Macaca fascicularis: one gene and its partners. The protein of the gene in region 4 purifies or fractionates together with the protein of the main gene of each other region. This does not show direct contact. Links are inferred from orthologs where the notes say so. Each region holds a gene or a part of one and is shown on either strand. Other genes may lie near its edges. The genes, in order: CNNM1, CNNM3, CNNM4 and protein tyrosine phosphatase type IVA 1.

Region 1 (7,087 bases), on a different chromosome or scaffold from region 4:
AAGGGGAAGGAACTGACAAGAAGTGATACCCGAACCTAGAAATGCCTCTGGAAGAAGCAGAGCAGAGTTGGATACATTGACAGTTTGTCAACTATTTCTTTTAAGGCAACACATTGACATGGCAGGAGTTCATGATTTTTAAAAATTTTTTTTAAAAAATGGAGCTGTGTGAAAGCAAGGCTGTTAAGGCCGTGAGTCACATAGATGATTTAGCCATTGGGTGGTACCTTTCCTTTTATATAAACACCCACCAACAGTGCAGACGCTCTCCAGCCCCTGCCCCTCCCCACTCTCACTGCCGTATACTGCTGTGCTTCTTCCCACTAATGGCAGACCCTGGCTGTGGCTGTCTGAATCTTCTCTTTAGCATCACTGACAAGTGGTGGTTTAATATCTGTGTGAATGCCTCCAATGATGAGGAACTCAGTACCTTACAAGGAATTGTGTCCCATTTACTCAGTATTGTTACCAAAACTACTTTCTTCCCATCCTTTTCTCCCTGACAATGCTTAAAGAGAGGGTTAGAGTTCCTGGATCCTTGATACCGGGTAATAAGAGGGGCCTATCATTGTTTTTTAAAAACATGGTGGCTCATACCTGTAATCCCAGCACTTTGGGAGGCCAAGGAGGGTGATGTCACCTGAGGTCGGGAGTTCAAAATCAGCCTGACCAATATGGTGAAACCCTGTATCTACTAAAAGTACAAAAAAATAAGCTGAGCGTCGTGGTGTGCACCTATAGTCCCATCTACTCAGGAGGCTGAAACAGGAGAATTGCTTGAATCTGGGAGGCAGAAGTTGCACCACTGCACTCCAGCCTGGGCAAGACAGAGCAAGACTCCATCTCAAAAAAAATTTTTTTAAAAAGACTGGTACAACTCACTGAAGATAAAATCTGGGCAGAACTTTTCCAAAAATAAATTAGTTGAATAATATAGAGCATTTTGCAGCAACAGTCATTCCCAAGAGACTTCCAGCTTGGGGGATGCAGCCAGTCTACCAACTCAGAGGGGCCCTGAGCCAGCAAATCCATTTCAAAGCCTACTGAAACAGCCCCTTCCTTCTCTCTTCCTCCTCTCCTTTCTTCACTCACTGTCCCTTTCCTTCTGTCCCCCTTCTCCACTGTCCATACTTGGAATTGCCTTCCTTCCCCTACTTTCCCTTTTGCTTTATTTTCTTGATTAAGGATTTATTTTTCCAAGACCTAGTCTTGCTTTCACAGCATCTCCAGTCACACTGACTCTGGGGGCAGAGGGGACACTGCTCCTTGCCCCACCTCCACCCTGTGTGCCATGGGCAATTTAGACATAATGAGATGGTAAGCTTGACAGTTGTCTTTGAAATGTATGCCCATTATAAAGTCAAATGGTGAGACATGCATGTGGGCATGTTTTAAACAACCATTCCTAACAGTTTTGTATAATAGATTCACTCATGTTATCTCATTAACTCTGGGCCTCTTTTATAAGATCAGAGAGGTTAACAATGTGGCCAGTGTATTCATTTGCCCATTGGCTGATTAAAAATGTATATATATTTGGCCAAGGTCTCCCAGCTTGAAAGTGGCAAAATTGGGACTTGAACTTTAGTTCTTGGCAGTATGTTTCCTGCCATATTTCTTAGGTGAAGGGACATTTGTCCTTTGACTAAAGTAGAAGCCAAATCTAAATAACTAAAGAACCCAAATAGAGTAAGATCAACTGCTTTACTGGGCTTACCGAGTGTCATTTAGGGAATTTTCCCATCCTTTGGTGTTAGAGCCAAATTTCCTCATCTTTGGGGGAAATTTTGGAACCTGACTTCTCACTTCCCAACAGAGGGAGTGGCAAAAGTCAGGTGTTCTCAACAAGCACATTGAATCGATTGAAGACTTTGGATAAATGCTAAGTGGAGACCTGTGGTTCCACGCCATAGAGCAAAGAACATACCATTTTGACCTAAAAAATATCAAAGCCAGTTGTTAACACTTTGCTGCTTTGTCCTTTAAAATCCTTCAGAGAAAAAAACCAAAACCTGAGTAGTACCTGTATCTGATTTTAACTAGGTCTTAAGTCAGCAGTTCTCAAAGTGTGATCTCCAGACTAGCAGCACCAGGAACACAGGAACTTGCTAAAAATGCAAATTCTCAGTCTCCACCCCAGACCTAGCAAATGAGAAACTCAGAGTTAAACCCAACAATCTTGTTTTAACAAGTCCTTCAGATAATTCTGATGCTGAGGTTTGAGAATCACTGATTTAAACCATCAATAGAAAACTCTATTTGCCCACCTGAATGGGCAGAAGTATGATTAGAAGCCTGGAATCTCTGTATATGTGTGTCCCATATGCTCTGCAAAAAGGCATGCATTCTTAACTGGTGTTTTATGATTAGATTAGTTGTGCTTAGAATTTGCTTGGTTCTCTTGCAAAATATCCTGAAGTTTGTTGAAGAAAGGATTGATCGTGTCCAGTAAAATAATGGGTCTTGTGAGTAGTTGACAAGGAGCCACTGTTGAGACCTTACCAGATACAAAGCCAACTTCAAGCCTACTCTCTGTCACAGTGTGTAAGCCTCAACCATCCCCCTCCTACTGCCAGCAGAAATCTTTCCTGTTTCAACATGTGATACCAATTCTGCCCCAAAGGAAAGAGAAGGCAAAATGAGCAGAATTTGTTCGTTCTCTAGCGCTAATGCAGTGAAGGGGGGATGAAAACGCTTTAGGAGATGCTATGATTGGGAAGGATATTATGCCACATACCATTTCCATTCTTCTCCCAGTGCCAGCCACTGATGAGCAGTTTCACATCCCTGTACAAGGTGGCACACTACCTAGTCTGTTTTCACTGCTAGCAAGGATTCACAGTGCCTGTCTGTGTTGTATACCCAGAGAACAGGGGTGACCGAGACACCTTCCTGCCTCTTAGAAGAGACATTTGATCTATATTTTTCCTGCCTGGAATCATGGAGACTCCTGTCTGGTCTGGCTGCAGCCTGACCCTCCAGATGCCTTCACTTGTGGCTGACGTTTGACACAGCAGGAAAATCACAAGTCTGACTCCTGTGATTTGAGGAGACAGCTGGGAGACCTCCCTGCTGTGGTCCCTGCCAACATAGGAGCATGACCCTACATCCAGGGATGGGCTTAGTCCAAATCAGAAATGCCTGTGTTCTCTCAGGCCCTAGCCTCCAGCTTCCCAACACTGAGACCTGGGGCATGAGAGCTTCGCTGCTGGAGTCCTACCTTATTCTCACCAAGTCACCCCCGACTGACCCTTTGGGCCTTTGGCAATAGTATAAATGTGTGTTTTAAACTTCTCCATGGACAACCACCCGGCTCTCTGAAGATGCCCTCCATCCTCTCCAGCGTCTCAGAAGGTTTGGTTCTTCCAGGTGCCAATAAAAAGGAACAGTGGGAGCTGGTGGCAGACCAGCAAAGGGCCCCTCACTGTCCCTGCTGGACTGCTACAGCGTGGGTAAGGCCCCCGTTGGTGGATCTCAGGCCTCAGAGGCCGAGGGTTCCAAGCACCCCAGCGAGGCTGCCCCCGAGCCTGGGAAGGCTGGCTGCATCCAGGAGGGCTCTGCCTAGCTGCTCCTAAGCTCCTGCCCTCTTCCTTCCAGATCACACGGCAGCAGTATCAGAATGCACTCACTGCCTGCCACATGGACAGCTCACCTCAGTCCCCTGACATGGAGGCCTTCACAGATGGGGACTCCACCAAGGCCCCCACAACCCGGGGCACACCCCAGACCCCTAAGGATGACCCCGCCATCACGCTCCTGAACAACAGGAACAGCCTGCCGTGTAAGTCAGCTGGGCAGACGGGCAGGCCGGGCTGGTGTGGGGTGAGGACGACCCTGCCTTCCTCTTCTAGCCCTGCCCAGGGCTCACACCACCTGAGCCCTGGGTCTTCTCCAAAGCAGAGAGGTGATGCACGTGCTGTCCTCCCCAGGCAGCCGCTCAGATGGGCTGAGAAGCCCCGGCGAGGTAGTGTACCTGAGGATGGAGGAGCTGGCCTTCACCCAGGAAGAAATGACTGACTTCGAGGAGCACAGCACACAGCAGCTCACACTGTCTCCGGTAGCCGTTCCCACGACAGCAGGTCAGGGAGGCCGACTGGGCCTAGCAGAACAAGGGGGATCATCGCCTTTGGGTACTGGGATGGCCCGGGGAAAGCTGGCTGAGGGGAGCCCTGGGACCGCAGCCCCTGCGTTAAACCTCCAACCTCCTTACACAGCCAGGGAAAGGAAACATTTACTGAGCACCTACCATGCATCAGGCCCTGTCTGATTCATTCTCCCAGGAAAACTGTGTAGGGCAGTATTAGGAGTTGGGTTTCTGCCTGGATTCAGACCCTGGCTCCTTCATTTAGGAGTTATGCAATTTTAGGCAAGTTATTAAACCTAAGACTCAGTTTTTTTTGTCTGAATAGATAAGTCTCCTTATGTTAATAGGTATAAATTATGACAGCTATCTTATAAAGTAGCTTTGAGCATAAATGAGATAATGTACATAAAAGGCATATCACAGTGTTCAGTACCATGCTTTATAAATGTTACGTAGCTATTATTAGGCCTACCTCACAGATTAGGAAACTGATTAGGAAACATTCTAACTAGCTGTGGCTTTGACCAAAGGTGTAGTCTATAGACTTTTCCTGAGGTCTCGGATCATATCACCTCCGAGACGCTGAACACTGCTGCCTTGACAGTGGTGTTGCTCTGAGCGCCCAGGGTCCCAGCAGTCCTGAGAAGCTTCTGTGTTTGCCTCTCTAAGATGTACTTCCCCAAGCTTTCAGTAGCCCCCTAAGCCTGCACCCAAGCCAGTAGTTCCCCTGCCAGACCTACTCCAATCCATAGTATAAGACTCCTCAAGTCCAGAGCAACAACCTGAAAAAGTGCTCAAAGATTTTTAAAGTTGGCCTGGCACGGTGGCTCGTGCCTGTAATCCCACACTTTGGGAGGCCCAGGCAGGCAGATCACCTAAGGTCAGGGGTTCGAGACCAGGCTGACCAACAATGGTGAAATCCCGTCTCTACTAAAAACACAAAAATTAGCCGGGCATGGTGGCGGGCGCCTGTAATCCCAACTACTCAGGAGGCTGAGGCAGGAGAATCGCTTGAACCTGGGAGGCGGAGGTTGCAGTGAGCCGAGATGGCACCACTGCACTCCAGCCTGGGCGACAGAGTGGACTCTGTCTCAAAAAAAAAAAAATTTAAAGTCAACAAGACAATATGCTTGAACTTGTGGCTGACCCACAAAATCTGAGACATACATGGTCACTGTTCCAGGACCTGAATTTAGAACTGATGTTCTTTTTCTGCCCTCAACACCAAATCTAGTAGCTAAAGCACACAGCAAGAAAATGTAACAAACGAGTAAGAACGAAGGTGATGGAGTAGTCTTGGAGATCATCTAGTCCACCCTCGTCCTGTGACACATGAGGACCCTGGAGGCCTAGAGAGGGGAAACAACTTGCTCAAGTCCAAAAACTGCATCATTAGCAGGCTCAGCCTCATGGCTTCAGTGCAGTGCAGTTTCCAGCACACCACTCTGCCTTCTGTTTAGGTTTTTATTTGCATTGGTGGTAAGGCTTGGCCCCCTTCTGGGCTCTCAGGTTCTGTAATTCTTTGAACTCCCATTGAGTCCTGCGGGAGAAGACAGGGACAATGTTGTTGAACCCTGTGGCTTTCTGGGGTTTGTGCAAATAGACCAAGGAGACCTCCACCTGTCCTCACGTGTGCTTTTAGTCTGGCAAATAGACTGGATGGAGAACACGTTGTTCTCTAACCCCTCTCTCTTGCCAAAAAGTGTTTGAGGAGAGGGAATGATTTCTGACTTTGCATGGATCGTTGCATTCCTGCTCCTGTTCTCCATCTTTTTGTTCCTTTTGTGGCACTAAAATGCCTCTTGCTAACTAATGACACCCAGCACTTTCCTGGGCATCCCTGCCTTATTACACCACCCTCGCTTTGGCTCACGTCTTAAACTTCACCTGCTGAGGGATGTCACTCAGAATCACCCTGTCTTGATGCCTGAGTGTGTAGGTTGAGACAACTTGAGTTCTCTCTTCTTTCCTTTCTCAGCATCAGATAGCGAATGTTGTAACATCAACCTGGATACAGAGACCAGCCCCTGCAGTAGCGATTTTGAGGAAAACGTGGGCAAGAAGCTGCTGAGAACCTTGAGTGAGTAGCTAGTTCTTCACCCAGATGAAAGCCACCCTGCTGATGGTTAGTAGGAAAAACATGTTAGCATCTTCCTCCTGAGGGAGGAGCCAGGGACTCCTCTTAGAAACCCTAATGAAGTACAATTGTGGAAATCCGCAAAAGGGATTGGGCCAGCACTGCACCCTTGATAGTTTTGGGATCTGTCCCATTCAGTTGTTTTCCTCTAGGACAGGAGACTGCACACCATGCCCACAGGTCAATTCTGACCTCCCTCCTTTACTGGTTTTTGTAAGTAAGGACTTACTGGATCACAGACAGATCCATTTGTTATCTATGGCAACAATGTCAGAGATAAGTAATTGTGACAGAGACCATATGGCCCACAGGCCTCTAATATTTACTGTCTGGTTCTTTAAAGAATTAGTGTCCAGGAGACTCAATAGAAAGAGAGCAATATCCTCCACACACGGAAGTCAATGGTGGAGAGAACAAGGTGAAGATATGCCTTCCTAAAAACAGACCTGGGAACAGATTGCTCTCTCATCCTTGAGGACAACTATGTAATTATGACCACCTGCCCCACTGCAGAAAGGAGGTTGCTTCAGAGCTAGAGAATGCAGGTCCCTGGAAATAGCTCCCAGCTACAGCCATCAACCCTGATTCATGGGACATCAAAGCCTATGAGATTGGTCCTCTCTGAGGGTGTCTGGCAGTCAGAGGGGCTGGCCCCCAAGGGGCACGGGAGGCATAGGCCTGAGGTGTTACATGGGCTTTACTCAGTCCCCTCCAGGAAATCTCAATTCCAGGCACTAGCCTGGGTTTGTGACTTTTCAGAGATGGCATCTTATGTGAAAAGTACGTCCTAATCTTTCAAGATGTAAATATGCCAATATCAGCACCAGCATACAATGCAGGTTAGTTCTAGCCAAGCTGTCAAGGGC
Region 2 (7,087 bases), on a different chromosome or scaffold from region 4:
TGGTGAGTGAGGGCCATTCGTGGGCAGACTGGCCATGTCTCTCTGGTGACATCCCAGAGCTTTTTTCTCTGCTTCTCTAGTTCAGTGCAGTCCTTTGGCAAATATATTTTTTCCGTGTTAAAGTCCTTTTTGTCCTTCCTAACCTTCTTAGGCATTCCTCGGCTTAGGAACAAAGAACATATTGCAGCTTTTGTGGTGTGTGAAGTTTTAAAAATCGATTCCCTTCCCATCTCTCTGCCAAGCGTATGAGCCTCTGAATTTCCTGGAGCTGGAGTCCCTGCCATCTTGGCAGCTTTCATTCCAGCTCTTGTTTCTTTTGCTCCGTCTGCTAGGGAACTTAAGTCTGGGGGCGAGGTACCAGCAAGGCACCCCTCAGTCAGTGCCAACTTGAGATGACATGCTGATTGTTTTGTGCAGACGCACCAGGAAGAGTGAGTGCTTCGGAGCAGTAATAAATAACTTGGACAGCTGCTCCTTGACTTACAAATGGGGTTATGTCCTGATAAACCCACTGTACGTTGAAAATACCTTGTCAAAAATGTGTTTGATACATCTAATCTACCAAACAAAATAGTTCGGCCTGGCCCACCTTAAACATGCCCAGAACACTTACTTTAGCTTGCAGTTGGGCAAAGTCATCTAACACAAAGCTATTTTAAAATGAAGTGTTGAATATCTCATGTAATTTATTGATTGCTGTACTGAAAGTGAAAGCAGAATGGTTATATGTGTTTGAAGTACAGTTTCTGCTGAATATATACTGCTTTTGAACCACCAAATTTGAAAAATTGTAATTTGAACCATGGTTAAGTCAGGGACCTTAATGTACAAAAGAACGTTATTGGCCAGACGCGGTGGCTCAAGCCTGTAATCCCAGCACTTTGGGAGGCCGAGACGGGCGGATCACGAGGTCAGGAGATCGAGACCATCCTGGCTAACATGGTGAAACCCCGTCTCTACTAAAAAAAATACAAAAAAAAAAAAAACTAGCCGGGTGAGGTGGCAGGCGCCTGTAGTCCCAGCTACTTGGGAGGCTGAGGCAAGAGAATGGCATGAACCCGGGAGGCGGAGCTTGCAGTGAGCTGAGATCCGGCCACTGCACTCCAGCCTGGGTGACAGAGCGAGACTCCGTCTTAAAAAAAAAAAAAAAAAAAAAAAGAACATTATTGTTACTATTATTATTATTATTATTTTGAGATGGAGTCTTGCTCTATTGCCAGGCTGGAGTGCAGTGGCACAATCTCGGCTCACTGCAACCTCTGCTTCCTGGGTTCAAGTGATTCTCCTGCTTCAGCCTCCTGAGTAGCTGGGACTACAGGCGCACACCACCATGCCCAGCTAATTTTTTTGTGTTTTTAGTAGAGACAGAGTTTCACCATGTTGGCCAGGACAGTCTCTATCTCTTGACCTTGTGATCTGCCCACCTCGGCCTCCCAAAGTGCTGGGATTACAGGCGTGAGCCACCGCGCCTGGCCAAGAACGTTGTTATTATTATTTTTGAGACAGAGTCTTGCTCTGTCACCCGAGTTCGAGTGCAGTGATGTGATCGTGGCTCACTGTAGCCTCTGCCTCCTGGACTCAAGCAATCCTCCCACCTCAGCCTCCTGAGTAAGCTGGGGCCACAGGTGAGCACCACCATACCCAGCTAATTTTTAATTTTATGTAGTGATTGGGGTCTCCCTCTGTTGCCCAGGCTGGTCTCGAACTCCTGGCCTCAAGTGATCCTCCCAGCTCAGCCTCCCAAAGAGATGGGATTACAGGTGTGCGCCACCGTGCTCGGCCGCAGTCTCTGCTTTAAAGGAACCGAGCTCTGGTTTCCTGTCAGGAGCCAGATGATTGCCAGGATGCTGAAAAGAGTCTGAGCAGCTCCGACAGCGTGAGGAGTGTCAGCACGCTACTTTTGTCTTTCTCACAGTATTCATTCATTCACCCAGGTGCTTTAGAAAACAGAAGAGAGAGGGTGGATGAACTTACACTCCAGCTGTTATTAACATCATAGAAATTGGGCGTTATGAAAGGGTACTTTGGCATTGAAATAATTGGGATACCCTGGAGCCTGCTAACTAAAATTACACTTGAAGCTTTTCCAGGACTTTCTGCTTGATGTTGGCAAGACACACTGTCACAGCTGCTCGTGGCCCCGTGGAGCTGGCCCGCGGGTGGGCGTCGGTGTGCGTGGCCCCGTGGAGCTGGCCTACGGGCGGGCGTCGGTGTGCGTGGCCCCGTGGAGCTGGCGGGTGTCGGTGTGCGTGGCCCCGTGGAGCTGGCCCCCGGGCGGCCGTCGGTGTGCGTGGCCCCGTGGAGCTGGCCCGCGGGCGGGCGTTGGTGTGCGTGGCCCCGTGGAGCTGGCGGGCGTCGGTGTGCGTGGCCCCGTGGAGCTGGCCCGTGGGCGAGCGTCGGTGTGCGTGGCCCCGTGGAGCTGGCCCGTGGGCGGACGTCGGTGTGTGTGGCCCCGTGGAGCTGGCCTGCAGGCCGGCGTTGGTGTGAGTGGTTCTACTCTGGTGGCTCAGCACATGAGAGGTGACCTTGAGTCCCTCCTGCTGCCCTTGCTCTGTCCCCCTGCTGCCATCTTTGGCTGCCATCTAGACCCCCCAGACGTTCTTCTTGGGATTCAGTCACACAACCACTGTTCCGGGGGATCTTCCAGGGCCTGCTTTCTTCTGTTCGTGGTAGAGTCATCCCAGTGTGGCAGGAAATGGAGAGTCGTGTGCCTTGTTTTAGAGGGAAATGGAGAGTCGTGTGCCTTGTTCTCGAGAAGTCTGAAAGCAAAGGAGTGAGTCCCTCTCTGCAGGAAACCTGTCACAGGGGCTGGCTTCCTGGGAGAAGGGAGTCGAGATGAGGCCTCTCTGCGCTGAGGTGGCTGTTTAGATCCTGGGCTTTGGTGCTGGAATCCGAGGCATTAACCAAAACCACAAGTCGCGCGTGGCCTTCCTGGCCTGGCCTGACAGGTTTGTACTCTGGCGGGGCAGCCGTGGCCCACGCAGAGACGGCACCCAGCACAAGCACCGAGGGTTAGAAGGTGTCTAGAAATGCGGTTCAGAGGGCTGAGTGGCCATCTCCAGGGGCCCTAGCCTTTCCTCCTGGAAAGCGGGGAGATGACTCGTGTGGCCATTTCCAGCTTTTTGTCCAGGGGAATGCAAGCATCCTGGAGAACTGTGCTTTTTTAAATCAAGCTCACGGGATGTAAAGTATGATCCACACAACGTGAACTTGACTTTTTGATTTCCCAAGAGAGTCTTGAAGCAGGTCCCCCTCACAGGCAGGTCCAGGCCAGTTTCCCTCAGTGTTTCCGTTAGTGACAAAGGAGGGCCTGGCTGGATGACTTGCTCCCATCCCCTGTGCTGGCCCTGTGCAGCGCAGGCCGGCAGCCCCCTCCACCTGGGGCTGTGGTACCTAAAGGTGGAGTCTGAGTTGAGATGTGCTGTGAGCATAAAACACACCAGATTCAGAGAGTGCAAAATAGACGAAACGTCTGTGTTTATTTTTTGGATTGATGACATGTTGAAATGCTGTTTTGACTATATTGGGTTACTTACAATATAAAACTTAATTTTGTGTGTTTGTTTTGACTTTTCTAACGCAGCCGTTCAGATTTTAAATTACTTAGGTGGCTTGCGTTCTGGTTTTTTCAGACGGGTCTAAAGTAGTGTGGATGAAAAGCACTTACCTGACACAGTAAATTCCTGAAGCCTCCCCAGCATTCCCCAACACTGTGAGACTTGGGCTTTTTTCCAAGTTTACATTCCCTCACTAAGCAGACAAACCAAACAGGAAGCTAACCTGAGAAAGAAAGACAGGGTGAGGCGGAAGATCAGCCTGGTGCCTCCCCCTGCACAGCTTGACTCCTGAGTGGTCAGCTGCCACGCGTCTCATCCCCTGGTTCACAGACCCTAATGGGCAGCTCTAAGAATTAGGAAAACGAAAAGATACACAGACACACACACGCACACACATACACACAGTCTATCTATCTTTCTATCTCTTTTTCATTTCTATCATAAGGACAAGAAGGAGTTCACATTTACATAGGATGGACAGCATATATATTTACTGTAAAAAAAAAAAAAAAAAAAAAAAGAATTAGGAAAACCTCCCGAGGAGAGTCAGGCTGGGTGGCCTCACTCAGCCGCCCCGTGTGGACTGCCGCAGGAGAGCCTGCGTTTCCGGAGTCATGCCCTTGTTAGCCTGCATATGCAGGCTGGCTGCTGTGTGAGGCGCATGTGTTCTCGACTGGATGCTTGTCTGAACTGCATCCATGGCATGGAGGTGCGCAGACCTGGAGCTGGATCCCAGCTCGGCCACCTCTGCCTGGGGGGCCTGTGCAGATGAGCAAGCATGAGCCCAGGGCTTCATTTTCAACCCGTGTGAAAATAAGGCCAGTCCTCATAGTCATGCTGGGTGTCTTAAGTAAAAACCTAGAAAAGAGTCGGGCTCTGTGCCTGACCCGCTGTAGGAACATGAACATTAGCCACGTCCTTTTGGTGGGCCCCGAGGGAGATGAATCAAAATGCGGGGGCCCAGCAAGCTGTTCCATGAGTGTCCTCCGCCCACAGGGAAGTCCCACCTGGCCATCGTGCAGAAGGTGAACAACGAGGGTGAGGGCGACCCCTTCTACGAGGTCCTGGGCCTGGTCACCCTGGAGGACGTGATCGAGGAGATCATCAGGTCCGAGATCCTGGACGAGTCTGAAGACTACCGTGAGTCCAGACTCTTGGCAGTTACGTCTCCGCTGGGCCCGCGCACTTCCCCAGGTGTATGTTGCGTCCGAGGCCAGTGGGCCTCTGTGCTGCTGAAACCCAGCAAGATCCACAGCCAGGCCCCTTCTCAGCCCTGCCTGGGCGCTGGCAGGGAGCCGCCTTGCAGGAGGGCTCGCCTGGGGCTCCGTTAGCAGCAGTCCTGTTAGATTCCTCCATTACTGAGAGAGCTCTGCCCTTCATGGGCCTTTCCCAGCCTTCTGTCTCCCGAGGTGCTTTTGTTTTTGCAGGTTCTTTTGTACATTACAGAAATGTCCTCTGAAAGAACCCATTCTTTGCCATGAAGAAAGTCTTCCCGGCTGGACGCAGTGGCTCACGCCTGTAATCCCAGCTCTTTGGGAGGCCGAGGCGGGCAGATCACGAGGTTGGGAGTTCAAGACCAGCCTGGCCAATATGGTGAAACTCTGTCTCTACTAAAAATACAAACATTAGCTGGGCGTGGTGGCGTATGCCTGTAGTCCCAGATACTCAGGAGGCTGAGGCAGAAGAATCGCTTGAACCCAGGAGGCAGAGGTTGCAGTGAGTCGAGATCATGCCACTGTACTCCAGGCTGAGACACTGGGAGGGGGTGGAAATAAGTCTTCCCAAAGCAGCTGATCCCGGGCCCTTGATTTCGTGGTAAAAGTGTCTGCCTGTTAGGTTGGTGGCTGAGGTCTGCAGAGCTGCACAGAGCCTGCGCTTCATGGCCGGGCCCCCTGTCCCGCATGCTTCCAGAAATACTGCTTTACTCGTGTCAATTTTCAAACATAGCATTTCTGGTTCCATTCCTGAGACTGCCACAGGCCTGGGGTCTCCAGGTTAATTGCGGCCCTTTTGCACTGGTCATCCTTGAATACATGCTTTCTAGTGAGAAGTTTCTCAGTGGCCAGAGAGGCCTGTTACTATTTTTTAATTTTTAATTTTTTTTTTTTTTTGAGATGGTCTTGCTCTGTCATCTAGGCTGGAGTGCAGTGGTGCAGTCATGGCTCACTGCAGCCTCAACTTCCCAGGCTCGAGCTTTCCTCCCACCGCAGCCTCCTGAGCAGTTGGGACTGCAGGCGCATGCCACCACACCTGTCTAATTATTTTATTTTTTGTAACGACACGGTCTCCCTGTTGCCAGGCTGGTGGTGAACTTCTGGCCTTAAGTGATCCTCCCGCCTCGGCCTCCTGAAGTGCTGGGGTTACAGGTGTGAATCACTACATCTGGCCTAAATTAAAATAAAATTGAGTCCACGTCCAGTGACCTATCAGGGATGCCTGTTGTTTTATAAGAGCTGCTTTGTTATCATATCAGCGTTCTCTTCAGCCAGCTCCAAGGCAGGGAGCCACCCCTCGCTCTGTGTGGTTGGGGTGGGAGCAGGCCCCGTGGAGGGAGTGGTGCTGAAGACATGTCCCTGGGGCTCTGATGCTGCTCCGTCGAGGACCCCCTGGCCTCAGTAGGAAGGAGCAGGCAATGCAGTCCCTTGGTGTGGTGGTGTTGACTGACAGGTGGCTGATGCCTGAGCGCGCCCTCTTCTTCCATCTTAGGAGACACTGTGGTGAGGAGGAAGCCTGCTTCTCTGATGGCCCCTCTCAAGCGGAAGGAGGAGTTCTCCTTGTTCAAGGGGTCTGATGATGAATATAAAGTAAAAATCTCGCCTCAGCTGCTCTTGGCCACCCAGCGCTTCCTGTCCCGAGGTGAGGCGGGAGGGTGGTCCGCGCCCCCTGCTCTCTTCACCGTCCTGTGGGTCAGGAGGCCGCCCAGGGCCGACACTGACTCTGCTCCCCGCTCCTAGCAAGCGGCGCGTCTTGAGGACTTGTGTGTTCTCTGCAGCCCTGCCAGCATCCTGGGTCATGGGAGAGACAGCTCCTCTCTGCCAGACAACCAACAGCTGGGCCAGGCCAGCGCCACACCTGGTGCGCCACAGCCAGGGGCCTCAGCTCTCAGCTGCGCGGGTGTGGGGTGCCCTGCCCAGTTCTTTTTTTTTTTTTTTTTTAAAAAAGACAGGGTCTCGCTCTGTCAGCCAGGCTGCAGTGCAGTGGCACGATCTTGGCTCACCGCAACCTCCGCCTCCCGGGTTCAAGCGATTCTCCTGCCTCAGCCTCCCAGGTAGCTGGGCTTACAGGCGTGCATCACCACGCCCGGCTCATTTTTGTATTTTTAGTAGAGGCTGGATTTTGCCATGTTGGTCAGGCTGGTCTCGAACTTCTGACCGCAGGTGATCCACCTGCCTCAGCCTCCCGAAGTGCTGGGATTGCAGGCGTGAGCCACCGCACCTGGCCCCTGCCCAATTCTCTTGTGTTGAGGTGTGGGGGCAGCTGCTGACAGGCCACCCAGGAGAGCCCTGCGGGGCAGAATAACTTTTAAGTTG
Region 3 (7,087 bases), on a different chromosome or scaffold from region 4:
TGACAACCGAAGCCGGAAGCGGGTGTCTGAGAAGAACAAGCGCGACTTCTCCGCCTTCAAGGATACGGACAGTGAGCTCAAAGTGAAAATCTCCCCGCAGCTCCTCCTGGCTGCTCATCGCTTCCTAGCCACAGGTAGGAGCGTGAGGAGGACCTTCCGGTCTTGGTGGAAATACGGTCACAGGGGGAGAAGTCCTGGGTCTCTGGCTACTTTCCCCTCATAGGACGAGGGCTGCAGCAGGTGAGGGGTGCAGAGACAACACAGCCACCCCTGGAAGGGGCCAGGTGCCTACTCCACCCCCGGGGATCTCCCTGCGATTCGTTTGCCATTAATGGGCAGCTACTGCAAACTTCTAGGAAGCATCCCGGTTATTATAGTTAATAGTTTGGGAAATAATGACTAAGCACTATGGCTCACACCTGTAATCCCAACACTTTGGGAGGCCAAGGGAGGAGGATTGCATGAGCCCAGGAGTTCGAGACCAGCCTGAGCAACATGGCAAGACCCCATCTCTACAAAAAATCCAAAAGCCAGGCAGGGTGGTGCCCTCATGTAGTCCCAGCTACTCAGGAGGCTGTGGGATGGGACAGTTGCATGCCTGTGGTCTCAGCTACTCAGGAGGCTGAGGTGGGAGGACCGCTTGAGCCCAGGAGTTTGAAGCTGCAGTGAGTTCTGAATGCGCCACTGCACTCAGCCTGGGCCACAGAACAAGATTCTGTCTCAAAAACAACAAAAAAGAAAATAACTACTGAGGTGGGCCCCTAGGCTGGCCAGGCCCATCAGGGCTTGTGGAATGGGAAGAAGGGATCCTTCCCCTTCTGCAGGTCTGCTGGGTGCGGCTGAACCCCTCGTGCGCTCACCCACTCTGAGGAGCTTGCGTCCAGCTCTGCTCTCATCTCTCCAGCCCTCCCCTCTGCAGACGTGTGCTGGTTCCTGCAGGAATTCACCTCTAGTTCAGAGACATTTCTCTTTTCCGCCCTGATTCAAAGCTCCGTTGGGGACTTGGGTGACAGGTTCTGTTCTGCCCTCCCTGCCCCCTCCCCCACCCCACCCAATTAATCTTCCTTCCCACCCCTTACTTGCTAAAGGGATGGTAATTCCCTCTCCATTATTTTTCCTGTGGGATATCGATGCTGATGCAATAATTATAGTCACATATACTAAGCGCTGTCCACGTGCTATCCCATTCGCCCTCACAACCACCCTGTGAAGCTTTTACCCCCATATTACAGATGAGGAAACTGAGATGCGGGTTATATAATTTGCCCAAGGTCACGTGCTATTCTTGTAGGAGCCACTGTTCAAGCCCGGGCAGGCAGGCAGGCAGCCTCGGGTCCATCCAGTCAGAAGCCAAGCGTGCTCCCTCCCCAGGGAGATACAGAACTGAGGGCCGGCCGAGCAGGGAGGGAGTCTGATCACAGCACGGCTATTGTGGTTGGGGTGGACGCACAACAGTGATCGAGCTTTAGGGCCACCTGGCCAGCCCCGTGTAAGGTCTCCTCTCTGTCCTCCTACAGAGGTCCCCCAGTTTAGCCCCTCCCTGATATCAGAGAAGATCCTGCTGCGGCTGCTCAAGTACCCAGATGTCATTCAGGAACTCAAGTTTGATGAGCATAATAAGTACTACGCCCGCCATTACCTGTACACCCGAAATAAGCCGGCCGACTACTTCATCCTCATCCTGCAGGTGAGCCCACTCAGCCCTGGGCCTGCCGCCTGCTCCCCCTGGCACCGCAGCACCCCTCGGGCCCTCTTTCCCACCTGCTGCGGAGGTGCATGGCTTCCCGGCCTGGGGAGCCTGCCGCCTGCCCTCGAGCCCCACCTGCCCCACGTGGCTGTGCTCTCCCTGACAGGATGAAGGAGAGGCTGTGCTCTCCCTTAATCCCACAGGTCAGGCCCCTGAGCTCTCCAGGGCTCCAGTACCGGCCCTTCCTCCTGCCCCACCATCCCTTGTTCCTTACTCCCCATCCTGCCTCATCCTTTCTTTCCTCCCTCACTCTGTCTCTAACCCCAGCCCTGTGTGTTTTCAGGGGAAGGTGGAGGTGGAGGCAGGGAAGGAGAACATGAAGTTTGAGACGGGCGCCTTTTCCTACTATGGGACTATGGCCCTGACCTCGGTCCCCTCTGGTGAGTTGTTGGGCAGGGTCTGTGCTGCACTCTGGCCCCCTGCAGCTGGGGAGCCGTGGACAGACACCAGAACTGAGCGTGGGCCCGAGAGCTCATAGCCAGTTGGCTGGGGCCGAGGGAGGCTTGTGAGGTGGGAGCCGCCAGGGCCTGGAGTGGGTGGTATGGAGGAGCGGAGGGAGCTGCCCCTTTGGATGGAGTCCAGAAACCGGAGGGGAAGAGAGGAGAGAGGGATTTTAGAGCAAAGGCCAGGAGGCAGTGGAGGGCATGTCCAGAGGTGGTGAGGAGACCAGTCTGCCTGGGGAGGAGGCCTGTGGGGAGGAAGGCCCAGGGCCCTGCTCCTGAGGACAGGAGGGGAGTCTGGGCGTCCAAAGTGCCTGAGGTCAGGAGCCAGGCGAGGGCCTGTTTGCCAGGGCAGGCTGCAGATGGGTTTGGCTTTCCGAGGGACGCGGCTACTGGGTTTTGGTTAGAGGTCAGCTCCGATGGAATAAAGGGCCCTGGGGACAGACAGAAGGGAGACTGGGCACCCCCTGAGAGGTGTGATGGAAGGTGTGGGGACGCGCCGCTCTGGCCGCCCCAGTGCCCTCTCCGGTGCTGAGTGGCTCAGGCTTTCCCCGCAGAGCCCCGCAGACAAAGCCCTGCAGGCCCAGGCCTCGCCAGCTCATCTCCTCGCTCCTCTCCAGCCTTGGGTCCTGGGGCGAGGCTGCTGCAGGGTAGAGAGAGAAAGTCCACTTTGGTGCTGGAGAACAGGCCACGCCAGTGGGGTACATGCTGCAGTTCCCAGAGCAGCTCTGTGCTGTGCCTCATTGTCCTTTGACAGAAAGGACCCCGAGGGGGCATGGGGGTAGGGCACCCATGAATATTGACACCCAGCTCAGCTTACCCACCGTGTCGTCGGCCCCTCCACCAGATGAGTGGGGCATGGCAGGCTCCCTGGGCAGGGGACAGACAGGGCCCCAGAGAGGGGCTCTGAGCAGGTGGACCCTGCCAGATGCCTGAGGCCTGGGGAGGACTTCCTGTGCCTCCAAGAGCAGCTGTTCTCTGTTCAGCTTGAGGAAATCTCGTTCAGAAGGGCGGGCAGGCACGGGAGGCCTCCCCCAGGCACTGCTTGTGCAACGAAGCCTCGGAGGCCTGGTCCCTCCACCCGTAGTCTCTCTGTTCCCACTTAGTGTGGCCAGAAGGGAGTGGAGATGACTGGGCATACTCAGCCAGCTTCTGCCCATCTCCGCACAGGGCTCATTGCTGTGCCCTGAGCACCCTTCCCATCAGAGCCACGTCCCTTTCTCCACTGGGCCCGTCTCTGCCCAAAGCAGCCTGGCCCCGTCAGGTCTGCCTCTGTCCTGTGCCTGTGGCTCCGTGTCCTGTCTCCTGACTGTGCCCATCACTGACCTTCTCTTTTGCTCCAGTGCCTTCAGTCCAGGTCGGGTGTCCGCCTGGCAAGCGGAACTCCCTGCTCTGCTGGCTCACAGGTAACGTGGCATGGCTGAGGGGCACGCTGCTGCCTGCTGCCTGAGCCTGCACACTGCGGCTGCATTAACCTCCCCGCAGGGACCGGGTGCCACCTGTTCAGTGTTGGCCGCCCGACCTCAGTGGCTCCGACCTCAGTGGCTCTGCTTGGCTGGGGCCCAATTTCTGGGCAGCTTTGCTGCCTCAGCTCTAGAAGGGGCCCCCAAAGGTCTCTTAGTCCTTGAGATCACACACCCATAGACACATACACACAGAGACACACAGAGACAGATACCACACACAGATATACACACCCATAGACACATACACACACACACACAGACACACAGTGAGATACCACACACAGATATACACACCCACAGACACACACACACACAGAGACACATAGAGACAGATACCACACACAGATATACACACCCACAGACACACACACACAGAGACACACAGTGATGTACCGCACGCAGATATACACACCCACAGACACACACACACACAGAGACAGATACCACACACAGATATACACACCCACAGACACACACACACACAGAGACAGATACCACACACAGATATACACACCCACAGACACACACACACACAGAGACAGATACCACACACAGATATACACACCAACAGACACACATACACAGATATCACACACAGATATACACACCCACAGACACACATACACACAGAGACAGATATCACACACAGATATACACACCCACAGACACACATACACACAGACACACAGTGAGGTACCACACGCAGATATACACACCCACAGACACACATACACACAGACACACAGTGAGGTACCACACGCAGATATACACACCCACAGACACACACACACACAGAGACACACAGTGAGGTACCACACGCAGATATACACACCCACAGACACACACACACAGAGACAGATACCACACACAGATATACACACCCACAGACACACATACATACAGAGACAGATACCACACGCAGATATACACACCCAGAGACACACACACACAGAGACACACAGTGAGGTACCACACACAGATATACACACCCAGAGACACACACACACAGAGACAGATACCACACGCAGATATACACACCCACAGACACACACACAGACAGATACCACACACAGATATACACACCCACAGACACACACACACAGAGACACACAGTGAGATATCACACACAGATATACACACCCACAGACACAAACACACACAGAGACACACAGAGAGATACCACACACAGATATACACACCCACAGACACACATACACACAGAGACACACAGAGAGATACCACACACAGATATACACACCCACAGACACACATACACAGAGACAGATATCACACACAGATATACACACCCACAGACACACACACACAGACACACAGTGAGATACCACACACAGATATACACACCCACAGACCTACATACAGAGACAGATACCACACACAGATATACACACCCACAGACACACACACACACAGAGACACACAGATAACACACACAGATATACACACGAACAGACACACATACACACAGAGACAGATACCACACACCGATATACACACCCACAGACACACACACACACAGAGACACAGAGAGATACCACACACAGATATACACACCCACAGACACACATACACACAGAGACAGATACCACACACAGATATACACACCCACAGACACACACACACACAGAGACACAGAGAGATACCACACACAGATATACACACCCACAGACACACATACACACAGAGACACACAGAGAGATACCACACACAGATATACACACCCACAGACACACACACACACAGAGACACACAGTGAGATATCAAACACAGATATACACACCCACAGACACACATACAGAGACACACATACATACAGAGAGACACAGAGAGATACCACACACAGATATACACACCCACAGACACACACACACAGAGACACACAGTGAGATACCACACACAGATATACACACCCACAGACACACATACAGAGACAGATACCACACACAGATATACACACCCACAGACACACATACACACAGAGACAGATACCACACACAGATATACACACCCACAGACACACACACACACAGAGACACACAGTGAGATACCACACACAGATATACACACCCACAGACACACATACAGAGACAGATACCACACACAGATATACACACCCACAGACACACATACACACAGAGACAGATACCACACACAGATATACACACCCACAGACACACACACACACAGAGACAGATATCACACACAGATATACACACCCACAGACACACACACACACAGAGACACACAGTGAGATACCACACACAGATATACACACCCATAGACACACAGACACACAGAGACAGATAACACACACAGATATACACACCCACAGACACACATACACACAGAGACACACAGATACCACACACAGATATACACACCCACAGACACACAATCACACAGAGACACAGAGAGATACCACACACAGATATACACACCCACAGACACACACAGAAACACACAGTGAGGTACCACACACAGATATACACACCCACAGACACCCATACACACAGAGACACACAGAGACACACACAGAGATACCACAAGCAGATATACACACCCACAGACACACACACACACAGACACACAGAGACACACAGTGAGATACCACACGCAGATATACACACCCACAGACACACACACACACAGAGACAGATAACACACACAGATATACACACCCACAGACACACACACACACAGAGACACACAGAGACACACAGTGAGATACCACACGCAGATATACACACCCACAGACACACACACACACAGAGACAGATAACACACACAGATATACACACCCACAGACACATACACACAGAGACAGATACCACACACAGATATACACACCCACAGACACACACACACAGAGACACACAGAGACACACAGTGAGATACCACACACAGATATACACACCCACAGACACACACACACAGAGACACACACAGAGATACCACACACAGATATACACACCCACAGACACACACACACAGAGACACACAGAGACACACAGTGAGATACCACACGCAGATATACACACCCACAGACACACACACACACAGAGACAGATAACACACACAGATATACACACCCACAGACACATACACACAGAGACAGATACCACACACAGATATACACACCCACAGACACACATACACACAGAGACACACAGTGAGGTACCACACGAAGATATACACACCCACAGACACACATACACACAGAGACACACAGTGAGGTACCACACGCAGATATATACACCCACAGACACACACACACAGAGAAAGATACCACACACAGATATACACACCCACAGACACACACACACACAGAGACACACAGTGAGATATCACACACAGATATACACACCCACAGACACACACACACACAGAGAGACACAGAGAGATACCACACACAGATA
Region 4 (7,862 bases):
TTTCTGTCGAGGAAATCCACAGAATCAAGTTCTTCTTCATAAACATCTGAATTTGTTTTTAACTCCAGGTGTAAGTATTTTAGTGGCTTCTAATATTTCTAGTAAAGTGTGCATCAAACTTGTCTTAGTAACATTCTTGAAGAGAATTTTGTTACACTTCATTGCTGCCTTTTTTTTTCCTTGTGGAAATTCTCTCTCCAAAAGCAAGTGTCTTTTTTTTTTTTTTTTTTTCCCATTAAGGAAACTTTTAAAGAAACTTGAAAAATTGCACAAGTTTTACATGCAAATGACAACGTCTTTTATATGTATATAGTTAAATGTTAGGAAAAAGATATGGTAGAACAACGAACTAACTCACAATACCCTGAGTAAGGTAAATATGGAAAACTCAGAGGTGGAGTTTGCCCTTGTCTGTAAAATGTGTTTGAGCAGATTTCATGGAAGACCTAACTTTGAATTCATAATTAATCTCGAGAATACTGTTGCCAGTATGTTGCACTTTATGATAATAAGCTCCTTTCTCCAACTAAATTCCTCTGTGAACTCAGTTTTCTTTTAATGGTTAATGATCTCATTGCATTTTTTGAAAGACTTGCACAGAAAATTCACTGTGGCTTTGTATAAAATATAAAACTGATCACAAGCGGGGCAATTAGTCTAAGTACTGTAGAATAGAAAATTGATCTTGTCAGAATTACAAGGGCACGTTCCTCTGTGTTTAGCTCCTTGAAGCAGAAACCATGCGGCACATCTTCATGAACAATTACCATCTGTGCAACGAAATTAGCGAGAGAGTTGTACAGCACTTTGTGCACTGCATTGAGACACATGGCCGCCACGTGGAGTACCTGAGGTTTTTGCAAACAATTGTGAAAGCAGATGGTAAATATGTGAAGAAATGCCAGGATATGGTAATGACAGAGGTATGTTCTCAGTTTGCCTTTTATCAGCTTCACATAAACAGTATGTTCAAATATGTATTTTCTATTAGAGTGAAAAAACCCCCAACCGCATAGGTTTGAGAAGTTATTTAATTTAATCATGACTACTCAAGTGCAAATATATTTTGCTTTAATCTAGTGAAGCAACATATCTTAAGTTGGTTTTATGATTTTTCTAATATTTTTCTTTTTGACCTATAAAAATTTGTGTATTTTAAATAATGGGCAAAATCCTATGAAATGTTATCGATTGTTTGGAATGAAAGTGACACAATTTTATATTTTTGAGTTTCCAGTGATATAAGAAAGACAGACTGAACTGTGCTTTTCCGGTGCCTTTATTGCTCTGTTTCTGAAATATAGAATGGGTGTTCTCTGCTACTATTTGTAGAAAGGTTTGAAGAGAATCAAACTAAGTAATACAAACTACCCAACAGTGATTTTTTTTTTTTTTACAACATGTGGAAACTTATTATTTAGAGTAAGTTGTAACTTTCAGCAAATGAATAGATGAAGGCACTTCATCTATTGCCTTCAAGTATGATGCATTGGAGAAGTAGCAGCTTAAAGAGCCCGTTGATTAAATCACTACTCTGTGACCAAATGGTTCTCTAGTGGCCCATATGGACTAAGGGAGCTTCCACCTATGGCTACCAAATAGTTACATGGTAGATTTTTATTGGTTTCTGGGCATTTTCATTAGTATATACCTTAAATTTGGGAATGGAGGAAATTTCCATAATGCTTCAAGGAGTCCCTCCTGCCACTTAGAAATCTTAAAATTAATTTAGCTTAAAGCCTTGAATTTTTAAATGTAAATTATTGTTATTAAACATTTTAAGGAACATTTTAAGCTTGTAAAATGCACCTTTTTCTTCTCTGAAATTACCTTCACATTAGCTCTTCATTGTCTGGAAATGTGAGAACTAAATGGATTTTGTGTTATGATCAGCAAGGAAAGAATTAGAATGGGGAAGCAGCAAACAGTGAAACCATCCCTATGACACTGTTGGGTGAAGTGTTTCTGTGCACAAAGAAGTATTTGTAATATTATATTATGTTAATATGTAATACATATTTTTGATAAATATACATTCTCTTTCAACAAAACTTTCAAAGTAAGCCAACTGGCTTATAGATTTAAATATGTTGTCACTTTAAATATAATACATAGAGAAAAAATTGTATATCCTTAGTTACCTACCAACATGTCTCACACTGGGGTTAGAAAATTGGTACTGATAATAGACAATAAGATAGTATGGAGTTTGAGCAATAAAACTGCCATCTGATGGAATTTTCTACTAAAATTATATAAACAAAATATGAAGGAAAATTTATGTCCTAAAAGCCCCTACCTATTCATATCTTTGTTTCTCTTGGTTTTTTGGTCTTAGTTTTCTACTTATTTCTCTTGTCTCTGCTTTTACCTTCATTCTCTACTGATGCCTTCTTATGACACATGGAATTTTTTAGACTTTTGTAGAGCTGTAATTAGCTCGATGTACTTGCTTATGCAGTCACTATTACAATGGATGAGGATATTTTACTCTGCTTTAGTAAAATTATGAGATTTCTTGTGCTTTGGCCATAGTCTCCTGGCCAAAAAAAGGTAGAGGAAAATAACTATTTTTTTACAGGTTTAATTTGAGTGTGATGAACAATTTACTATCATCCATATTGTTTCATTCTTGCCCCATCTGCTGCTTCCATATCACCCCAACTGATTTTGATAGCATTCATAGCTGGTTCCTTGGCATGGGACCATAATCTTTTCACCACCCTCCCCCAGCTTAGCTCTGCTTGTGCCATATTATATATGTTTTTACAAAGAGATACATGTGGCCTCGGCGCGTGTATTGGCTCCTTCGGCTGCGGGCCGGCTCGGCTACGCGCTCTGCTCCGAGCCGCTCACTGCATGGTAGAGTCTGGTGCCCCCGCCGCCGCCTGCATCGCCGCCACCGCCGCTCCGCCACGACCACCGCCGCCTCCTGCCCTGCAGCCGCCACCACCGCCTGTGTCGCCGCCGCCTCGGGACCGGCTGTATGATTAGGCCACAATCTTCAATGAGTAAACATATTCCTCAATTCTGTGGTGGTCTTGGTCACACATTTATGGAGTTTCTGAAGGGCAGTGGAGATTACTGCCAGGCACAGCACGACCTCTATGCAGACAAGTGAACTGTAGAAACTGATTACTACTCCACCAAGAAGCCCCCATAAGAGTGGTTATCCTGGACACAGAAGTGTTGAATTGAAATCCACAGAGCATTTTACAAGAGTTCTGACCTGGATGGGGTAAACCTCAGTGCGCTTCTTTTCTGTTGGCCTCAGTATTACTGGATTGAAGAATTGCTGCTGCTTGTTAGGAGGTTCATTTCATTTATCATTACTTACAACTTCATACTCAAGCACTGAGAATTTCAAGTGGAGTATATTGAAGTAGACTTCAGTTTCTTTGCATCATTTCTGTATTCAATTTTTTTAAATTATTTCATAACCCTATTGAGTGTTTTTTAACTAAATTAACATGGCTCGAATGAACCGCCCAGCTCCTGTGGAAGTCACATACAAGAACATGAGATTTCTTATTACACACAATCCAACCAATGCGACCTTAAACAAATTTATAGAGGAACTTAAGAAGTATGGAGTTACCACAATAGTAAGAGTGTGTGAAGCAACTTACGACACTACTCTTGTGGAGAAAGAAGGTATCCATGTTCTTGATTGGCCTTTTGATGATGGCGCACCACCATCCAACCAGATTGTCGATGACTGGTTAAGTCTTGTAAAAATTAAGTTTCGTGAAGAACCTGGTTGTTGTATTGCTGTTCATTGCGTTGCAGGCCTTGGGAGAGCTCCAGTACTTGTTGCCCTAGCATTAATTGAAGGTGGAATGAAATACGAAGATGCAGTACAATTCATAAGACAAAAGCGGCGTGGAGCTTTTAACAGCAAGCAACTTTTGTATTTGGAGAAGTATCGTCCTAAAATGCGGCTGCGTTTCAAAGATTCCAACGGTCATAGAAACAACTGTTGCATTCAATAAAATTGGGGTGCCTAATGCTATTGGAAGTGGAACTTGAGATAGGGTCTAATTTGTTATACATATTAGCCAACATGTTGGCTTAGTAAGTCTAATGAAGCTTCCATAGGAGTATTGAAAGGCAGTTTTACCAGGCCACAAGCTAGACAGATTTGGCAACCTCTGTATTTGGGTTACAGTCAACCTATTTGGATACTTGGCAAAAGATTCTTGCTGTCAGCGTATAAAATGTGCTTGTCATTTGTATCAATTGACCTTTCCCAAAATCATGGAGTATTGAGTTATGACTTGTTTAAATCTATTCCCATGCCAGAATCTTATCAATACATAAGAAATTTAGGAAGATTAGGTGCCAAAATACCCAGCACAATACTTGTATATTTTTAGTACCATACAGAACTAAAATCCCAGGAACTATGAACACTCTAGACCTTATGTGGTTTATTCCTTCACTCATTTCAAACATTGAAAGTAGGGCCTACATGGTTATTTGCCTGCTCACTTTATGTTTACATCTCCCACATTCATACCGGTATACATCAGGTTTGCTTAACCATTGATTTTTTTTTTTTTTTTTTACCAAGTCTTACAGTGATCATTTAATATGTTTCTATAAATCTCACTTTGTGCTGTTATTAAAAAAACCTCCATTTTGAAAATCTACATTGTACAGAAGCACATGTCTTTAATGTCTTCAGACAAAAAAGCCTTACATTAATTTAATGTTTGCACTCTGAGGTGCAACTTAACAGGGAGGGCCTGAGAAAAGAATGGGAGGGGGCTATTAATTATTTTTAGCAAAATGTTGCCTTTGTCTTGTGCAGAACATGTAGAACATGCTCTTTAATTTAGTAAAATATTTTTTTAAAAGGTAGAGATGCTTTGTTATTGTAATCATAAACTTCCTGAAATTCTTGTAATTTTTTTTCCATACTTATCAGAAGCATGTTTACCAACTTATTTTTGTTTGAAAGTGTGATTTTTTTTTCCCTTCCCAACCTCTCTTGCAAAAAAAGAAATGGGTTTCTGCTAATGAATTGAGCAGACATCTAATATTTTATATGCCTTTTGAGCTGTGTAACTTAATATTTGGATACTTGATAATTTGTTTTATTATGTAATTGATAAAATGGTGATGTGTATTAATGTTAGTTCAACCATATATTTATACTGTCTGGGGATGTGTGGTTATAGTTCTGTGGGAGAAATAATTTTGTCAGTGTTCACCAGCTTGTAAAAACTTAGTGCGAGAGCTGAAACATCTAAATAAATAATGACATGCATTTATCATCAAAAAAAAAAAAACAAAAAAAAAACAAAGAGATACATGTGTTTCCAGATATATCAAGCCTTTGGAATTAACTGCAAGGATAAATGTTTGGACGGCTCTGTAGACTCTCTTATTATCTTTTCAGTTGATAAATGGGGGTGAAGACGTGCTGATATTTTACAATGATAGAGCGTCATTTCCCATCCTTCTCCATATGATGTGTTCAGAGAGAGACCGAGGGGATGAGAGTGGCCCCTTAGCCTACCACATCACCCTGGTGGAGCTGCTGGCAGCATGCACAGAGGGGAAAAATGTCTACACTGAAATCAAGTGTAATTCCCTTCTCCCGCTGGACGACATAGTGAGGGTGGTGACCCATGACGACTGCATCCCTGAGGTAAGCCTGGCAAAACTTGGCAGCTCTAATAGAATCATTATTAATTTTTAAAGTTCATGTAGGTGCCAGAAGTCCCCCATACTAATATTTATAATGAGATCATATATTTAGTCAGGGAATTGTATTTAACTATATAATTTGGAAAATGTAAAGCAGCATAAAAGGTCTGCTTTTTAATAAGAAGTTCTAAAAGAAGTTCTGAAAGATGATAAACTTTTTTTGTTGGTTTTTTTGAGACAGAGTTTTGCTCTGTTGCCCAGGCTGGAGTGCAAAGGCAAGATCTCGGCTCACTGCAACCTCTGCCTCCTGGGTTCAAGTGATTCTCCTGCCTCAGCCTCCTGAGTGGCTGGGATTACAGGCATGTGCCACCACACCCAGCTAATTTTTGTATTTTTAGTAGAGACGGGGTTTCACCATGTTGCCCAGGCTGGTCTCGAACTCCTGACCTCAGGTGATGCACCCACCTCGGCCTCCCAAAGTGTTGGATTTACCGGCATGAGCCACCGCAGCCAGCCTATGAGAAACTTTTAAGACGTATAGCCACTGCTCGTTTAGTGGAAGCTACTAGACAGCTCTCTTAAAATTCTAAACATGGCAATATGATCAAACTGAAAGGTTTACTTGAACCTTTAGTATGTACTTGAGCATAAAATAGGTGTTTCAAAAATGATTCATAATCATTGATTGGAGAGGCTAGGATAGTGCTGCAGGATCACATAAAAGACTCTGCAGGTTTACCTGGTTTTATGGAATAGATGCATTCTTGAAAATATGCATACACAGTTTGCTTTATTCCTACATCATTTACCCTCTGTCCTGGTTTGACTCTGATGATAGAAAAAGCCTCAGTAGCAGCTGGTTGTCTGCCAATAGGCTTCTATTAATGAGGCATCCAGGAATGTACATTGCAATAATTTCTTTCTTTTCTACTGTTGTATGTTGTTCCAAAGCTTATAAATGTGTGACACCCTGAAAAAGATATGGAGTCAAACATTTAAAATCACAGTAACTTAAAAAGGTGTCAGATGAGGTTAACGGAAATTCCCTACTTTTAGATAATCGTATGGTAGTGATGGACTTGAAAGCACATTTTTGTGAAATTTTGTGGAATTGTCGACATGTCACTCCAAGAGTACTTCATGCCTGATTGGTCTGAAATAAGATGACAAAGAGGGGAAGTCTAGTCTAATGATGAAATCCCTGGGTTCTGTCCTTACTTGAGAGCCTGATTCTGGGTATATTTCTTCCTACATGTAGTTCCCTCTGACACTGCCACTCTTACCTCTTACATTCATCTAAGTAACTCCTCCTTATCCTTTAGATCTTGATTCAAGCCTTACTTCTCCAGGGAGGACTTCCTTGGCCTCCCTTAGTAGAGTCTGTAAGAATATATAATTTGAAATTTGACATTTCCATTTTATTAGTTAGCAAAGACCTGTAACCCTCATGCCCATGCCCAAGATTGTAAGCTCTATGAGAATAACAACAACTGGATCTGTTTCTTTTCACTGTTTTATTGTTTGAGCCAGAGCCTACACTCAATAAATAAGTTTTGAATGAATACACAAAAGAATTACAGAATATTTTATCCTGGATACATTACATTCTAGTTGTGTGGCTGACTCCAACAGGTTACTTTAACCTTTTTAATCTTAAATTCCTACAATTTTAAGGTGGAATAATTATCGTATATGCCTGATAGGATTGTTGGAGGATTAAAGTAAATAATTCATACAAGATGCTGAGGGTATTTGGCACATAGGAAACACTGAGTACATTTTAGCTGCTGTCATGATAGGTGTGAGAATGCACTGAGTGGCCCGCGTCTCTGTACCCTGTGGCCATCCTTGAGACGGGCACTCTGCCGTTGACGGTTTGTTTAGGATCAGTGAGGTACAGAGAAGCACCAAGGGCATGAAAGCTGTCCCATATTTTTTATGGTTCCAATTTGGATTCCATGAGTCCCTGAAATTGTTCATATGATTTTTTATGTATATGTATTTTTCCAGAGAGATTTATAGCATTCATCAGATTTTCATAATGAAAGAAACAAAAAAATGCAAAACAAAAATTCCTGTCCTATGTACTTTAGAAATGGTGTATGTTAGTGAAATTCATCCCAACCCTTTATGAGGAATTTCACTAATTCTGGAAAGGAATTTTACTACATCTGTATCTTAAAATAGTATACATTTTTGGGGGTAAA

What was found.
Region 1: the proteins of protein tyrosine phosphatase type IVA 1 (region 4) and CNNM1 purify together in Homo sapiens (affinity purification with mass spectrometry; 4 studies listed by BioGRID and IntAct, with this or other methods). This does not show direct contact. The link is inferred for Macaca fascicularis from reciprocal best matches to the Homo sapiens genes PTP4A1 and CNNM1.
Region 2: the proteins of protein tyrosine phosphatase type IVA 1 (region 4) and CNNM3 purify together in Homo sapiens (affinity purification with mass spectrometry; 6 studies listed by BioGRID and IntAct, with this or other methods). This does not show direct contact. The link is inferred for Macaca fascicularis from reciprocal best matches to the Homo sapiens genes PTP4A1 and CNNM3.
Region 3: the proteins of protein tyrosine phosphatase type IVA 1 (region 4) and CNNM4 purify together in Homo sapiens (affinity purification with mass spectrometry; 6 studies listed by BioGRID and IntAct, with this or other methods). This does not show direct contact. The link is inferred for Macaca fascicularis from reciprocal best matches to the Homo sapiens genes PTP4A1 and CNNM4.

Annotation. Positions count from the first base shown.
Region 1 is NC_088383.1:108,347,607-108,354,693, forward strand, and holds part of CNNM1 (metal transporter CNNM1), read left to right. Parts: intron 1-3,597; coding exon 3,598-3,781; intron 3,782-3,929; coding exon 3,930-4,079; intron 4,080-6,062; coding exon 6,063-6,164; intron 6,165-7,087. UniProt on the Homo sapiens protein: Probable metal transporter.
Region 2 is NC_088387.1:1,842,172-1,849,258, forward strand, and holds part of CNNM3 (metal transporter CNNM3), read left to right. Parts: intron 1-4,553; coding exon 4,554-4,751; intron 4,752-6,263; coding exon 6,264-6,413; intron 6,414-7,087. UniProt on the Homo sapiens protein: Probable metal transporter.
Region 3 is NC_088387.1:1,808,171-1,815,257, forward strand, and holds part of CNNM4 (metal transporter CNNM4), read left to right. Parts: coding exon 1-134; intron 135-1,517; coding exon 1,518-1,687; intron 1,688-2,030; coding exon 2,031-2,127; intron 2,128-3,530; coding exon 3,531-3,593; intron 3,594-7,087. UniProt on the Homo sapiens protein: Probable metal transporter. The interaction with the metal ion chaperone COX11 suggests that it may play a role in sensory neuron functions. May play a role in biomineralization and retinal function.
Region 4 is NC_088385.1:29,333,873-29,341,734, reverse strand, and holds protein tyrosine phosphatase type IVA 1, read left to right. Parts: upstream 1-2,785; 5' UTR 2,786-3,470; coding exon 3,471-3,992; 3' UTR 3,993-5,309; downstream 5,310-7,862. Other genes in the region: inositol 1,4,5-trisphosphate-gated calcium channel ITPR2, read left to right, coding at 1-70, 723-923, 5,405-5,656. UniProt on the Homo sapiens protein: Protein tyrosine phosphatase which stimulates progression from G1 into S phase during mitosis. May play a role in the development and maintenance of differentiating epithelial tissues.